2 linked regions of the Schizosaccharomyces pombe genome follow. The gene in region 1 interacts genetically with each later gene. Each region holds a gene or a part of one and is shown in the gene's direction. Other genes may lie near its edges.

Evidence for each region. Genes that interact genetically often act in the same process or in processes that back each other up.
Region 2: of sum3 (region 1) and cig2, changing one suppresses a phenotype caused by changing the other (phenotypic suppression), as found in Schizosaccharomyces pombe (2 studies listed by BioGRID).

The regions. Positions count from the first base shown.
Region 1 is NC_003421.2:972,029-979,144, reverse strand, and holds sum3 (translation initiation RNA helicase Sum3), read left to right. Parts: upstream 1-2,431; 5' UTR 2,432-2,473; coding exon 2,474-4,384; 3' UTR 4,385-5,146; downstream 5,147-7,116. Other genes in the region: yapsin Yps1, read left to right, coding at 1-532; protein SVP26, read right to left, coding at 1,021-1,704; SPOM_SPCC1795.12C (uncharacterized protein), read right to left, coding at 5,983-6,321. UniProt on the Schizosaccharomyces pombe protein: ATP-binding RNA helicase involved in translation initiation. Remodels RNA in response to ADP and ATP concentrations by facilitating disruption, but also formation of RNA duplexes. Inactivation of ded1 blocks mitotic cell cycle progression at G1 and G2/M.
Region 2 is NC_003424.3:2,706,687-2,715,336, forward strand, and holds cig2 (G1/S-specific B-type cyclin Cig2), read left to right. Parts: upstream 1-3,095; 5' UTR 3,096-4,393; coding exon 4,394-5,629; 3' UTR 5,630-6,366; downstream 6,367-8,650. Other genes in the region: gpi12 (pig-L family GPI synthesis protein), read right to left, coding at 42-232, 297-507; mitochondrial [2Fe-2S] cluster assembly and transfer glutaredoxin Grx5, read left to right, coding at 1,411-1,760, 2,093-2,183; P2 type calcium transporting P-type ATPase Pmc1, read right to left, coding at 6,367-8,650. UniProt on the Schizosaccharomyces pombe protein: Essential for the control of the cell cycle at the G2/M and G1/S (mitosis) transition. Interacts with the cdc2 protein kinase to form MPF. Interaction with res2 promotes the phosphorylation of res1 and inhibits MBF-dependent gene transcription.

The DNA.
Region 1 (7,116 bases):
CGCTCTGATATTTCAATTTGGATGTAATTCAACTATCAAGGTACCGATATCGTTGCTAGTGATTGGGCAAGTTTCAAACATATGTCTTTTAGGTATTCGACCTTCGACGGATAGTGAGATTGTATTAGGTTTGTTATTTTTTCGAAACGCCTACACATTTTATCATCAAAGTCAAAAAATGATTGCCATTGGGCAAGCCTTTTATAACGCAACATCCAACTTGTCCGCCATCGTGGATCAACACATTCCTGGTGCTCTAACTTGTTCGCAATATCCTACGAGTGTGGCATCTACTCAATTGGTTCAGACTAGTCACTTCACATCCACATCGTTGTCTGCTGTGAATATTTCGGAAAGCGTCGTTTATTCCTATACAAGTAGTAGTAGTATGCCCTCTTCAGCTATTCCGTCCTTCAACATCTCTTTGATTTCTCAGAATGCGGTTGCAAATGCTGGAAATTCGTTTTCTCCGTTAAGTGCTATGGTCATTATGATGATGTCTGCTGTATTTTTAGGACTCGGTATTATATAGTCGATACTGATTAATTAAATGTGTATTTTATCAATTTTACAAGTGGCTAGGGTTTACTTGGATATATTTAGCTTTCTATCATGTTAATTTTTATTGATAAAATCGTTATGAACAAGACGTAAAAAACTCCGTTTCATATGAATATGAAAAGGCGTCATCTATTTCCTTTAAATGCATTTTCTACACGTCCGAGATGAAATTTAAGTCAAATTGACAATACAATTTCCATGTTGAAAAAAATAACAATAGGCAATCCTAAAGAACAACGACAAAACGTAAAAGAAGGATAATTTTGTTCGCTCAAACTGACCGAGAAAAAGTTAAAGTGTTGATGAAGAAAGTATGAAGAAAACTATATACAAAATAAAAGTCGAAAAAAAAAAGAGATGCAACATGTTGTGAGTAAATGATCACATAAGAAGTACAGACATTACAGTAAAGTTAAACGAATCCTTAATTTAAAAAGACAAGCATCCCTCAAACTCAACTCAGACGTAACGTTCACTTGAACGATCACTCAACCCCAAAGAGGTAAGACTACGTTCGACGAAGATACCTAACTTTTTATAAGCTTGTCGAAGTACATTCGACGTCCGACGAGATGATCCAGAAGAATAAGCATCAGGGGACGAGGAAGACGGGGTTGTAATGGTAGGAAGTGTATTGTCAGCAGCGGTAAAGGAAACAAAAATACCAATAGGAACAGACCATACGCATACCCCCATAAATGAAGCAACTTGTGAAAAGGAAGCACGAGAGGTCAAAAGGCGTTGACCAACAAAATCGTAAGTGAGTCCACGAGGTTTAATAGGGAATTCATGCACCTGGAAAAAGCGGACCCATAAGATATGATTCGCGACAATAAGGAAACATGCTAGCAAAAATCTCATTCTCTTAAATGAGAAGAAAGGAAAGGTATCAAAGTTGATTTTATAAATGTAATGACTGAAAATGGAGAATGCCGAGAGCCAAAAAGGAAAACCATCAAATATAACCAAAAACACCATTACCGCCATAATAAAATAAACCAACCGACATAAAAACGCCTTTGCGAGCCTAGAGTGCTCTTCTACAAACTCTGAAATGTAATACAAAGCTGATGCGATACTCACGGTCATGCCTATGAATCCCAAAACGATACCCAAGTACGACAGAGCATTAAGGACAATCATTTTGAAAAACGCTTTTAATTATGTCGTATCTAATAATCTTAACAAATGTGATTTTCTTTGGACTTCTTCAATATAGATAAATATGTTCGGATTTGTCGAATAAATACGGTTTTAATGCACAGCACCGCTTACAAAGCTTCTGCCTAAAGGTTTTAGCAATTTCTTAAGTTGCAAGGCACAATAAAAATATCAATTTCTATATTTTGTAGTATTGGTTGGTATGGGAAGACAGCAAAACCATGGCTGGTACTCCTGAATATCACTACGACCTTAAACAGAAAGCAAACTGTATGCTAATAATTGTAAATTTGAAAGTTGAATTTTCTTATTCCAATTAAAATGATTAATATGTATACTAAGTCTGCTATTTAGAGACGAGCATAACGGTGGTTTTTAGTTTTGGTGAGTGGCAATCGTGTACCTACATTACGGTGCCTAAATGTTTAGTTATATAGATTATAAATATATTTATATAGTAAAACCTTTCAATTAATTTTTATTCTTTAACGTAGTCAGATGATAGCACGTGTACTGACTTAAGGTTTCAAAAAAACTATTAATACCCATACATATTGGTATCAAAATTAACTAAAAAATAATTTTAAATTGTTTAAATGACTTTTTATCCTTGTTAAAAATTGTTTTCGTTGACATATCTAATTTGCTGAGGGGTTAAAAAGGGCAGTCCCATCGTGTATTTGGTAGCATTTAATGGCCAACTTAACCTAACCTCAACCAAACACTTCAACTCAGAAATACAAAAAATATTATGAGCGACAATGTACAGCAACAAGTAGATTCAGTTGGTTCTGTGACTGAAAAATTGCAAAAAACAAACATCAGCAGACCTAGGAAGTATATTCCTCCTTTTGCTAGGGATAAGCCAAGCGCTGGCGCAGCTCCAGCTGTTGGCGACGATGAGTCTGTCTCATCTCGTGGCTCTTCTAGGTCTCAAACTCCTAGTGAGTTTTCCTCTAACTATGGAGGTCGCCGTGAATACAATCGTGGCGGTCATTATGGTGGTGGCGAGGGCCGCCAAAATAATTACCGTGGCGGTCGTGAAGGTGGTTACAGCAACGGCGGTGGTTATCGTAACAACCGTGGATTTGGCCAATGGAGAGATGGTCAACACGTTATCGGAGCCCGTAACACTCTTTTGGAGCGTCAATTATTTGGTGCCGTTGCTGATGGTACCAAAGTTTCAACTGGTATTAACTTCGAAAAGTATGATGACATCCCTGTTGAAGTTTCCGGTGGAGATATCGAGCCTGTTAATGAGTTCACTTCTCCTCCTTTGAACTCTCATCTTCTTCAAAACATTAAACTCTCTGGCTACACTCAGCCCACCCCAGTTCAAAAGAACTCCATTCCTATTGTCACATCCGGACGTGATTTGATGGCCTGTGCCCAAACCGGTTCCGGTAAGACTGCTGGTTTCTTATTCCCTATTCTTTCTCTTGCTTTCGATAAAGGACCTGCCGCTGTTCCTGTTGATCAGGATGCCGGTATGGGTTATCGTCCTCGCAAAGCCTATCCTACCACCCTTATTTTGGCTCCCACTCGTGAATTAGTTTGTCAAATTCATGAGGAATCTCGTAAATTCTGTTACCGTTCTTGGGTGCGTCCCTGTGCTGTTTACGGTGGTGCCGATATTCGTGCTCAAATCCGCCAAATTGACCAAGGTTGCGACTTGCTTTCTGCTACTCCTGGTCGTTTGGTTGATTTAATCGATCGTGGTCGTATTTCTTTGGCCAACATTAAGTTTTTGGTGTTGGATGAAGCTGATCGTATGCTGGATATGGGTTTCGAGCCTCAAATTCGTCACATTGTGGAAGGTGCTGACATGACAAGCGTTGAAGAACGTCAAACTCTCATGTTTTCTGCCACTTTCCCCCGTGATATCCAACTTTTAGCTCGTGACTTTTTAAAGGATTATGTCTTCTTGAGTGTTGGTCGTGTCGGTTCCACTTCGGAGAATATTACTCAAAAGGTCGTACACGTTGAAGATTCTGAAAAGCGTAGTTACTTGCTTGATATTCTTCACACCTTACCTCCTGAGGGTCTTACCTTGATCTTTGTAGAGACTAAACGCATGGCTGACACACTTACCGACTATTTGTTGAATAGCAACTTCCCCGCAACAAGCATTCACGGTGACCGTACCCAACGTGAGCGTGAGCGCGCTTTGGAATTGTTCCGCTCTGGCCGTACTTCCATTATGGTCGCTACTGCCGTCGCCAGTCGTGGTTTAGATATTCCCAATGTCACGCATGTTATTAACTACGATTTACCTACTGACATTGATGACTATGTGCATAGAATTGGTCGTACCGGTCGTGCTGGTAACACTGGTCAAGCTGTTGCGTTTTTCAACCGTAACAACAAGGGTATCGCTAAGGAATTGATTGAGTTGTTGCAAGAGGCCAATCAAGAGTGCCCCAGCTTTTTGATCGCCATGGCTCGTGAAAGCAGCTTTGGTGGTAATGGACGTGGTGGCCGTTACAGTGGTCGTGGTGGTCGTGGAGGCAATGCTTATGGTGCTCGCGACTTCCGTCGCCCTACTAATAGTAGTAGTGGTTATAGCTCTGGCCCTAGCTACTCTGGATACGGTGGCTTTGAAAGCCGTACTCCTCATCATGGTAACACTTACAACAGTGGTAGTGCTCAATCCTGGTGGTAAATTTCCTAAAAAAATATTTTTATTGGGTTACGTGCATCTGTGTTATGCACAGGCTTCTGATGATTTCCTTTAGTCAGAGGCCGAAGTATTGTGTCCATTGTTTTGCTGACATTTGCAAAGCGCGAGGATGTCAGAAAGGGCGAAATATTTGGCTTTAATTAACTGTGATTGAGTGAGTTGCACGAAACGTCTTTTGTTTAGGTCCGGTTTTTTTCATTTTTAAGCTGGGCTTGGACGGATGCTCATTGGGTGTGCTTTTTAATCGTTGCGGTTGTGGAAGCGTTATGTAAAAACGATCCGGCAAAATTTAGTATGCGGTGTTGTGTTTTATTGCATAATAAGATGAGGCGAAAGTTTCAGAAGTCAATGCGTGCATGATTTATTCACGGGACTTTTTAAATAGAATATGCATATTTGAAACATTTGCATTGACGAAATGGATGTACGAATACGACGGGCATACAAAATGACATATATTATACATATTTTATATATATCTATTGATATGTTGAAAATTTCTACAGGCTTTGAGCTCATGATTTTAAAAATCAATGATGGATCTTTTTTTACGAGTCTGTGTTTCTTTTTTTCGAGAGAACTTGGAAATAGGTTAGTGTCTCTCTTTTGTTGGATTGTGGTTCTTGGGTAATATTTCTTTAGGAAAAGGTTTACGATTCTGCAATTTGTAATAATAGGATGCGCGCTAGAGCAAATTAATAAATTTTATTGCAATAATAAACTATACACATGTTATTAGGCAAATTAGTTATTAGTAAAATTAAGGAATGTAATTAGTGATATGTACAGTCAGAAATACTAGAAATATATACGAAAGATTAAGTAACGCAGCTACAATGATCACTGATACAGAAAGTATTTAAGGGTCTAGTTGGACTAGACAATTGTTTATTTATTGTGTCGCAGTAGTCACAATCAAAAGAAATAATTAAATAAAAAATTAGAAATAAATGGTGAACCACTTGGACCTATATGCTTTGACGACATACATATTAATAAGTGAGGACAATGTCAAGGGTAACTTAAGTAAATGTTGAAGAAAAATGCTTGATGATTATGTTTTTACGTTCTCAATTAAATAAGTAACTTTTCAATTAATTGAAAAACGAATATTAATGAGTAACCATGACTAGGATTAAAAGAATAAACAACCATACTTAAACTTAGTATTCAATAGATTGTTGAGATTAAAGAGAACAAAAATTAAGGAAACAGATCACAGCACAATTTCATCAAAAAATTGCAATTTTTCTTCGTTTTTCTTTATGTTTTTATATAATATAAAAAATTGATGAAAAGCAAGTAGTCCTTCTCTTTTTTTTTTTTTAAAGAAAAACCGAAAACAAATGTAGAAAAGACAAGTTAGGAAACAGGTTTGTAAAACAAGCAAGCTAACCGAGAACAAAAAGAGACGCATTTACAAGGGATATAAATATGTACAATTGAAGGTGCGAAAATTTTTCACAAGTCCTTGCGCACTGGGAATGCGATAAAAGAAAAAAACCATAGGGAACAACCGAAGATCCAAAGTACCAACAAAACGAATGAAGCTCTTGCTCTAAACATTGTTAAGAGTTAATTTAATCCCGGAAGGAAACAAAAGCAATTAATAAGATGAAAGCGATTAGAAACATTGAGAGAGTAAAGATGAAAAGTCGACGAGAGGAAGTAGACACACGCTTTAAGCGTTGAACTAACAGCATGTGCTTTATGGGGTCGATTCTCTTTCTAGGATCTCTGTTTTCAAACTGCAACTCATCGCTGTCGCTATCATCAAAGTCTGGGAATTCATCTACTTCTGTTTGAAACCGAACATTTTTGCGGATTCGTTGTCGAGGATCGCTTTGCGAAGCAGAAATATCATAGAGGGGATTTCCCGTATACACAGGAGAGTAAGATGTTGTTGTAGGACGATACATAAAGTCAAATGATTCAAATTTAATTAGATTAAGAATGTGCAAAAGATAAATTCTATGCAAATCGGATCTTGGATATCATAGCAAAATACCGGCACGCTATCTACGTTTACCGATGGTAGTGTACACTTTTGGCTTAATTGGTTTATCAACTTTGATAAATTACATTACAATATTTGTGATACATAACGTGTACGGTATTGTTTTTCTGATACTGAACGAATTTTATGCTATAATTATGAATGATGGATTAGCAAAGTCTCATGGGTATTTTGCCTTTCAATTGCTATTTTAAAAGTAAGATTAATTGAAATTAATTGACTCTTTGTAATTCTGTATTGGTTCTTCTTAACAAAATCACTTTGAAACTTAACTTTTCTTTGCTTTAGTTAGATTTGGAATGCATTATTTTATGCTAAAGAATGTTGTAATTTTATTGCTTGGTGTCTATCAATATTACTGTGAACTGACCGCAATACTTTTTTAAAAATATTTTTCGTTAGCAATAAACTTGAAATGAATTAAACTAAGGCATAGCCATTAGTAGCATGCTTCATGTTTGGGTGATAAAAAAAAGTAAACATGATGTCTGAAAGCAATTGTTAGATGGAATGTCTTCACCAACGTGATCATTGGGAATTCTTGAAAATATTTTAAAAAATATTTTATTTTATTCAAAACAATTGAAATTCCGCAAATGATTATTTTCCCTCAAGGTAAATTAAATCCTTGTTAATAAAATTTATTTACTTCCATATTATAAACATAGTTAAATAATATTTTTTAATTTTTTAATTT
Region 2 (8,650 bases), on another chromosome or scaffold:
ATGGTCTATTAATTGGATAACTGACCAAAAATAAAGCGTACCGTTTTAATGTTGTAACGTTCAATTATTTGAGAAATGTGTTTCGCTACATCGGTTGGATCCCATTTTGCCTGCATACCGTCTTGCAATTGAGGATCTGACACAACATGAACATTGGTTTTATCAATTTGGTACTTAGAAGCAGCGACGACCAACTCTTTTTCTCTAACGCTTCCGAGCCCATCGGCATTGCCTAAAATCGGAGTTAGTTCGACACATAATTGATAAAATGGAAAACTGGACCAACTGTTTCATACCATTAGAAAGACACAAAACATGAACTCGAGTAGAATGCTGATTGCCTAAATAGTCGATGGTGGGACCAAAAAACATAGATTCATCATCGGGATGAGCAAAGACGAAAAGGATTGATTCAACTGCTAATTTCTCTTGACCAGAAGAGGATTCATTTGCAGTGGATAATACAGCTATTGCGGTAACTAACAAAGTTGACCAAAACCAAATCATAGTGGTGCAATCTTAGTTGGAAATTTCAATAATTTTAATATGAAGAAATCTTTTTTAAACTATCAAATTAATTAAAATGAATAGATTAAAAAAAAAAAGAGATATATGGTTGCCTAGTTTGTTATAGGAGTATACAATGGACTTTTGCAAATGGATGAGGATTACATATGTCATGTTTGAACAATACTGTCAAGAACAAGTTTACACTCAACTCATACGAATTACAAAAAAGCGGATACATTACTTAGTAAATGTTTTACAGCTACATAATATATATGTTATTTCCAGACTTATATAGTTAATTACATTATTCATTACCCTGTGAACTACTATCGCTCAGTGAGACGGATAGGGAAAGAGGCAAAAAACTGTAAAAGTACTTCAAAGGATAAGGTAAAAGTAAGAGGAATATATTTACTTTGGAAAACAGAGAGGACCCAAAGAACATAATAAACTACCATAAGTTGGAGCGGAAGCTATGCATATATTTTATAGAGAACAAATATGAGTTATCAGGAATTTCGGAAAAGAGCCAGGATCCATTATATTTTTACATTCCTTTAATAGAAATAAAGGGCCAAGGGAGCCAGATGGATTGCAAAATCTATATTCATTAAGGAATTTGATTTAGCTGCGTTCTTCTCGAAATCAGAAACTGATTAGTACAATATTAAGTCTTTTATCCCACGATATACTTTTCTAATAAAATAAATATTCTTATAAAACTTTTCTAAAAGTACTGATTTTCTATAATATTATACTGATTTAAGACTTGGAAGAATTCTATATAGCGCAATAGAACGTGGTACGGCTTCTTACACTTTTATCTGCGGCGAATCAATGAGTTGACATTCAAGCTCAAAATTGCCTTATTATAAACACTTTACAATATCCATATTCAAGATGAATTCGATGTTTAGATTTTGGATTCCTAAAACCAGTATATCCATGCAACTTCGCATGCTGTCCACACAAACTCGTCAAGCTCTTGAACAGGCCGTCAAAGAGGATCCTATCGTTTTATTCATGAAAGGTACACCTACCCGCCCAATGTGTGGATTTTCATTAAAGGCGATTCAAATTCTTTCATTAGAAAACGTTGCTTCCGATAAATTAGTTACGTACAACGTTTTGAGTAATGATGAGCTACGTGAAGGTATAAAGGAGTTCAGCGACTGGCCTACGATTCCTCAACTTTATATTAACGGAGAATTCGTGGGCGGTAGTGATATCTTGGCGTCCATGCATAAATCGTAAGTAATGTTTTAAACTGTATTTTTATTATTTGGTAGAGAGACGGTGAGGATTGAGGAGGTGTCATAGGAAATGTTAAAGATGATGAAGGAGGATTCTACAACTGTTTAATCACTCTAGTTGATATTAAAGATAAAAAAACCCTGTTATATTTTCGCTCTTTCTTCAAATGAACTTTCCCTTTTAAAGCATTGGATAAAAATCAACTATTAGTGTATCAGTGTCTTTAATTCGTCGTCTATATATGCCACATTGTTCTCTCCCTCATTTTTTCTCTCATATTTAATTATTTCTCCTTGTCAACATTTCTGTATTAACAATTTGTCTGTAGAGGAGAGCTTCACAAAATTCTAAAAGAAATAAATGCTTTGGCCCCTGAACAGCCAAAGGATAGTGAAGAGGAAACTACTAAAAAGGATTGAGTCCACATTGCAAATTAATTTGCACAACGTACCACGGTCTTGTGCATTTTTTAGTTTATTGGTCAACTTGACACCACAGGCCATGTATATCAATCAGACGTTATTCAATTATCTTTTTGCTGTACGCTTGATATTCTTTAATGAAGCTTTGAAATTCTGTTTCTCCTCTTTTTTGTGTTCATGCCCTTTCATGACAAAATGTTGGAAATAATGTAAAAGAGCTCTATAAGAAAAAATAATTTTTATCGGAAGTTATTTTTTGGATCAACCTCAATATCAATTTGAAAGCGATCATGTTCATGTTCATGTCCATCCAAATGACATAGAGAATGGAAATTAGTGTCGTGATTTATGCCTTATTGTTATTCCTTGACTTTTTTTTTAAAAAAAATGTCGTAAATTAGATTTAATGTTAAAGCGCTATTGCTGAATACTGTTTTATTTTGCTTATGTTGTTGCACAGAACAATGTCTTGGTAGGTGTAATTCACAGAAAGCATTACGATTGGTTATCTGATATGATTTAAAAATTCTTCTTTGATTATATAAAGTACTGGCTTATCGACGTTACGAGACGTTTACCAAACTTTTATTAACAGATGCTTGTGTTTCTTGACAAACAACATTATTCCTTCCAAGCTCAGCATATAGCGAATTATAGTGTAACTGCGATATAAAGTATTAGCGAACTCTCCCTTTTTAATTCTATTCAAATTGCGTTAGTTTGTGTAGCATGTAATGACGGCACGCGCATAGTGAATTGTAATATACAAAACGCTACACCAAAGCGCGCGCTCTAAAACACGCCAAAACGAGGTGCACGCAACTTAGCTTGCGCGAAAGCGCGTTTCTCGCGTCGCGTCGCGTTTACTTCTTTTATATGCTTGCTATGCCTGTCTTTTGCTTTTTCACTGACACTTTGACTTGTGTTGAGTTACAAGAAAGGCTTCAAAGGCACTTGTACAAGTGTAATTTCCCTTTTACAAGACTCTACCAAAGGTTGGATCCACCTTGAAGTCCTTCTCTTGTTGTCGCTGCTTTTTGCGTTTCTTCTTTTCTCTTTGAATATTCCTTCTTTCTAATTTCTTTTTTCAAATACATGCTATAGGGATCAGTTTAGGCTCCATATACTAGGTTGAGCTGGTTTTAACTGTAAACAATAGTAAATTAAGCTTTCAGTATTTTGAGTGTCAAGCTAGTTTTTACTCCGGAGTATCTTATTTCTACTGTACTTATTTTCTTTTAATTAATTTTTTACACTTTTCAGCTGCTAAGTGTCGGTTTCTATTGTGTACTTTACCGTTTTAAGTTTCTTTGTTTTCTTTGTTCTGGTTCGCTTATTGTCCTACTCTTTTACAGGAGGCGCTTGCCAAAGACAGTCATTTCTCTTATAACAAGTACACTATATCTTATTAAAACATAATTAATCGTCCCCTTTCGATATTAGTGCAACAATTGCTATCCTACAGTCTTCCCAATTGCAATTTATTTAGCCTTTCAGCATTGCTCTCGCCCTCAAGCTGAAAAGGTTTTACTCGCTTTTCTTGCTGGAAAAATAACACCTACATTTGTTATTCTTTTAAATTCGAACTATCAAACTTATTTGCTTGTATTGTTCGTCTTAGTGCTGCTTTTTCTGATCCATCGTTTGTTTATCAAACCTTCAACTTTGCTTTTTCTAAACTAATTACAAAGAAGTGTTCTTTTTAATTCTCTTCGTTAATCATTGTCCCTTTAAACTACGCTCTTGTGCTTTATAAGAGTTAATTCTGCATACCTCAAAGAGGTAAATTCATTTTCGAATCGAACGTTAAAAAATTTATCTTTACTTTTTTTTCTTTCTCAATTTTGATTACATCTGCTTGTTTTTTTTTTTCGTTTATATCCACAACAGTAGGTTGGTTTGGTTTGTTTACACAATTCATTTGTTTATGTTTGGACGATTTCTTTCCCTTTCTTCCTATCAACAACAATAGAATAATTCGGACCCATTGATTTATTCTCATTTAAAAGAGAAACTTTAAAAATTCGCTATAAGTGCTTTCTGTTTCTCGATCGCTCAATTTCCCTAATTTATCCATCTTGTCAATTGAGATTAATTTACCAAAAACAGTTTCCTTATTTTAATAAAAAGAAGACATTTTTGGTTACAAACAATCAGATATATTTCTATACGTTGATAAAAGGGTAATTTATCAATCCATATTTCATATGGCTCTCTATTCAATTTCAAAGCCTGTTGGTTCTAAAATCAATAAGCATAGTTATCAAGATGAAAACACACTTGTTGGCAAACAAGCTTTATCAAAAGGGACTGAGAAGACAAAATTATCTACAAATTTTGAAATTAATCTGCCACGTCGAACTGTCCTATCTGATGTTTCCAATGTAGGTAAAAATAATGCTGATGAGAAGGATACGAAAAAAGCGAAAAGATCGTTCGATGAATCTAATTTATCTACAAATGAAGAAGCTGATAAACCTGTCGAATCTAAATTCGTGAAAAAGTTGAAAGTTTATAGCAAAAATGCGGATCCATCTGTAGAAACTTTACAAAAGGACAGAGTCTCTAATGTTGATGATCATTTATCCTCCAATCCTTTGATGGCTGAGGAATACGCACCCGAAATATTTGAGTACATCAGAAAGCTGGATTTAAAGTGTCTTCCCAATCCAAAATATATGGACCAACAAAAAGAATTAACCTGGAAAATGAGGGAAATTTTGAATGAATGGTTGGTGGAAATACATTCCAACTTTTGTTTAATGCCCGAAACCCTTTATTTGGCAGTCAATATAATTGATCGATTCTTGTCGCGTCGTTCATGCTCTTTGTCTAAATTTCAATTAACAGGCATTACTGCTCTTCTCATCGCTAGCAAATATGAGGAGGTTATGTGTCCTTCGATACAAAACTTTGTTTACATGACTGATGGTGCTTTTACCGTAGAAGATGTCTGTGTCGCTGAACGTTATATGTTAAATGTTCTCAATTTTGACTTGTCCTATCCAAGTCCTTTAAATTTTCTTCGCAAAATATCTCAAGCAGAAGGTTATGATGCACAAACAAGGACATTGGGGAAATACCTAACAGAAATTTATCTGTTTGACCACGATTTATTACGATATCCTATGTCTAAAATTGCTGCTGCCGCAATGTATTTGAGCCGCCGATTATTGCGTCGCGGCCCATGGACGCCAAAGTTAGTTGAAAGCTCTGGTGGGTATGAAGAGCATGAATTAAAGGAGATAGCGTATATTATGCTTCATTATCATAACAAGCCTCTAGAACACAAAGCCTTTTTCCAAAAATACTCCTCAAAAAGGTTCCTGAAGGCTAGTATTTTTGTTCATCAACTCGTCCGTCAACGATACTCAGTCAATCGTACGGACGATGATGACCTTCAATCAGAACCGTCTTCTTCTTTAACAAATGATGGTCACTAACGAACGCTCTTATAAATTTTCTTACGCAAATATTCTGTTGAATATGAGGTTGAGCTCTTCTTTTATTATTTATTATCATAACTTATTTACTTTTTAAAGAGCTTCTTTTTCTTCTTCTCTTTCTTTGAATCTTATCATCTTTATGCAAGGACTGTTTTCAAGTATGTCATCAAGCCTTTCCTCCTTGATAACTAAGTCCTTAATTATATACCATATACCCAAGTTTTATCCAAGAGTTTTAGAATTGAAAATTTTGTAGTCTACTAAACAAACCGTGTTGATGCTTAATCCTCACACATTGTCTTTTAGATGATTCCGTTGATTCTAGAGTATTCGATAATTTCATTCCTTACTTTATGTTACGTTTACATTTTTTATTTCAAAATACGTGTACGTTGTTTCCTCATATTTCTGTTAAACAACATGTTTCTAATTAATGGAGTTTTCTTTATTCATTCATAAAACTTAAAGCTCAAGCGGTATATAACAAACTGGCTAAACCATTAATAGGCAAAAACCAAGTAACTCATAAAGATAAACAAAGAAAGTAGACATAAGGAAAAAGGTAAAGCTGACTCGTTTTCTATACAAAAAGGGAATTTTTAAACCTAAGAAACAAACTTTTAATTGATAACAAATATAGAAAAAGAAGGCGATTTCCAACGAGAATAAGGAAATAAAAAAGAAAAATTCGATAATAGAATCACTGTTATTCTGTCTCATACATTCGTCTTAAATTAATGAACATTTGAGCTTTTTTTATCGAGAGCTTGGCGATTGTGAGAAATCCAAATGTCATGCCCACCTAATCGTCCGCTGGCTTCACTAACAAGTGTTGAGATAGGAATCATTAAAGCTACGCTAGTAGCTGAAGAAACAGAAGGTGAACGGATCTTCATAAATCTCTGTTTTACACGGGGACGAAGACGTTCAGGAAGCGCTTCCATCTGTTTATCAAATTTGGAGTTGTTGAGTAGGTGGCGTATCCTTCCTCCTCTAATGCGTTGAACGAAGCCAAGGGAATGACGAATAGAGTCAATAACTTCGTTGGGAGATGTGGGTTCATACGGGATAAGACTAAGGGATTCAACATCATGATCGGTTGAACGGCGCTTAGAACGGAACCTAGGATTTAGAATCCAAGAGAAAACAGTGTCAATTGTCTTAACCGGAAGGACCTTTCTTAGGAAATTGTTTGGTACACAACGAATCAAGGCTCCAAGTGGGATAGAGATAACACCAAACACGATGGAAATCGCCCATCCTTTACCATCGATTCTTTTTACGGAGAATGCGGCACCTCCGAAAAAAACAATTATAACTTGGATACCAGCAACAATAACGAAAATAGCAATAAAGAGGAAGTTATGGTTAATACGTTCAAAAATATTGAGCTTGTTATCCAATCTCCGATTGTTAATTTCGTTAAACAGCTGGAGCCAGACAAAGGTATTGAAAACAATAGTATTCATGTCCGCAGTATTGGAAGGGTAATGGAAGATACTATTACCAGCAAAGTGTAGCACCAAAGTAACAGCAAGTTGGTACATAGATTGACAAATAATCATTTTCCACATGTCAAAAGTAAAAAGCGATGCACCTGGTTTCTCAGGTTTCCTCTTTAACACTTCAGGAGTAGGAGGGTCAGTGGCAAGTGCAAGAGCAGCAAGTGTATCCATAATTAAATTAACCCACAAAAGCTGAACAGCAGTTAAAACAGAGCTTTGGTCAGTCGAGGCAACAGCAGAGATAATAGTCAAGAAAACAGCCGTAATATTCACGGTAATTTGAAATTGCAGGAATTTTTTTACAGCGTCGTTAACGGTTCTTCCCCAAGCAATTGCTTTCACAATTGACGAGAAGTTGTCGTCCATAAGGATAATATCGGACGCCTCCTTGGCAACTTCGGTTCCCGATTTACCCATTGAAAAGCCGACGTTAGCTTTTTTTAGTGCAGGCGCATCATTGGTACCATCACCTGTAACCGCTACTACGTTACCAAGCTTCTGCAGTCCTTCAATCAATAACTGTTTGTCCAAAGGAGATGAGCGTGCAAGTACATCTAATTTGGGTAAGATTTCTAAGCGTTTCTCATCAGAAAGAGATCGAAATTCCGGTCCTTCCATGGATATTCCATCCTCTGTGTAAATTCCGCACTGCGAAGCAATAGCCTTAGCAGTAACAATATTATCACCAGTAACCATACGAACAGTCACCCCTGCACCTTGGCAAACCTTTACAGCCAAAGGTACATCTGGCCGAATAGGGTCCATGATACCGAAAAATCCTAAGAAAGTCATGTCTGTAAATGCGTCTTCCCATTTCAAAGGATTAGAACTATCCTCGTCATTGGTGGGAATATCTTTGGGAGGCCAAGAGTCAAACACACGATAGCATAAACCTAAAGTACGAAGAGATCTTTTGGCATATCCAGTGATCATTTCTTTAAAATAATCTGCATGAGAATGCATATCTTCAACTTCGTCAAGGGAGCCATTGGTAATAACTGATGTAGACTGTTGCAAAACTCTTTCCGGCATACCTTTTACTACAAAGTAATACTTGTCTTTGTATTCAAATATAGCACCAGATGCTTTGCGGTCAGAGGAAAATGAGAAGAATTGCTTGATATCAACGCTTGAACGCATGCTATCGACGTTTGTAAGTCCCAGCTCTTTGACTGACATATCAAGTAATGCTGTTTCTGTCTTAGAACCTATAAACCTTGGGGTGTCAGAATTATCCTCAAATAGCTGTCGACATGTCGAATTGACAGCAATACTGTAAAGAGTTAAGTCCCGAAGTTCTGGGGAAAGGCGCTTAAAGGCGAATGCGCTAGCACCAGCGTCTTCGAACTTTGAAGAATCGGAACCCTGATCAACGTTGGTAGGAGTTTCATCATTATGATCAAAAAACAACACATCTGTGCCAAATCCACCCGCAACAACAGTCATTCGATTTTGGGTTAACGTACCAGTTTTATCCGAGCAAATGTTAGTAGCTGTTCCCATCGTTTCACAA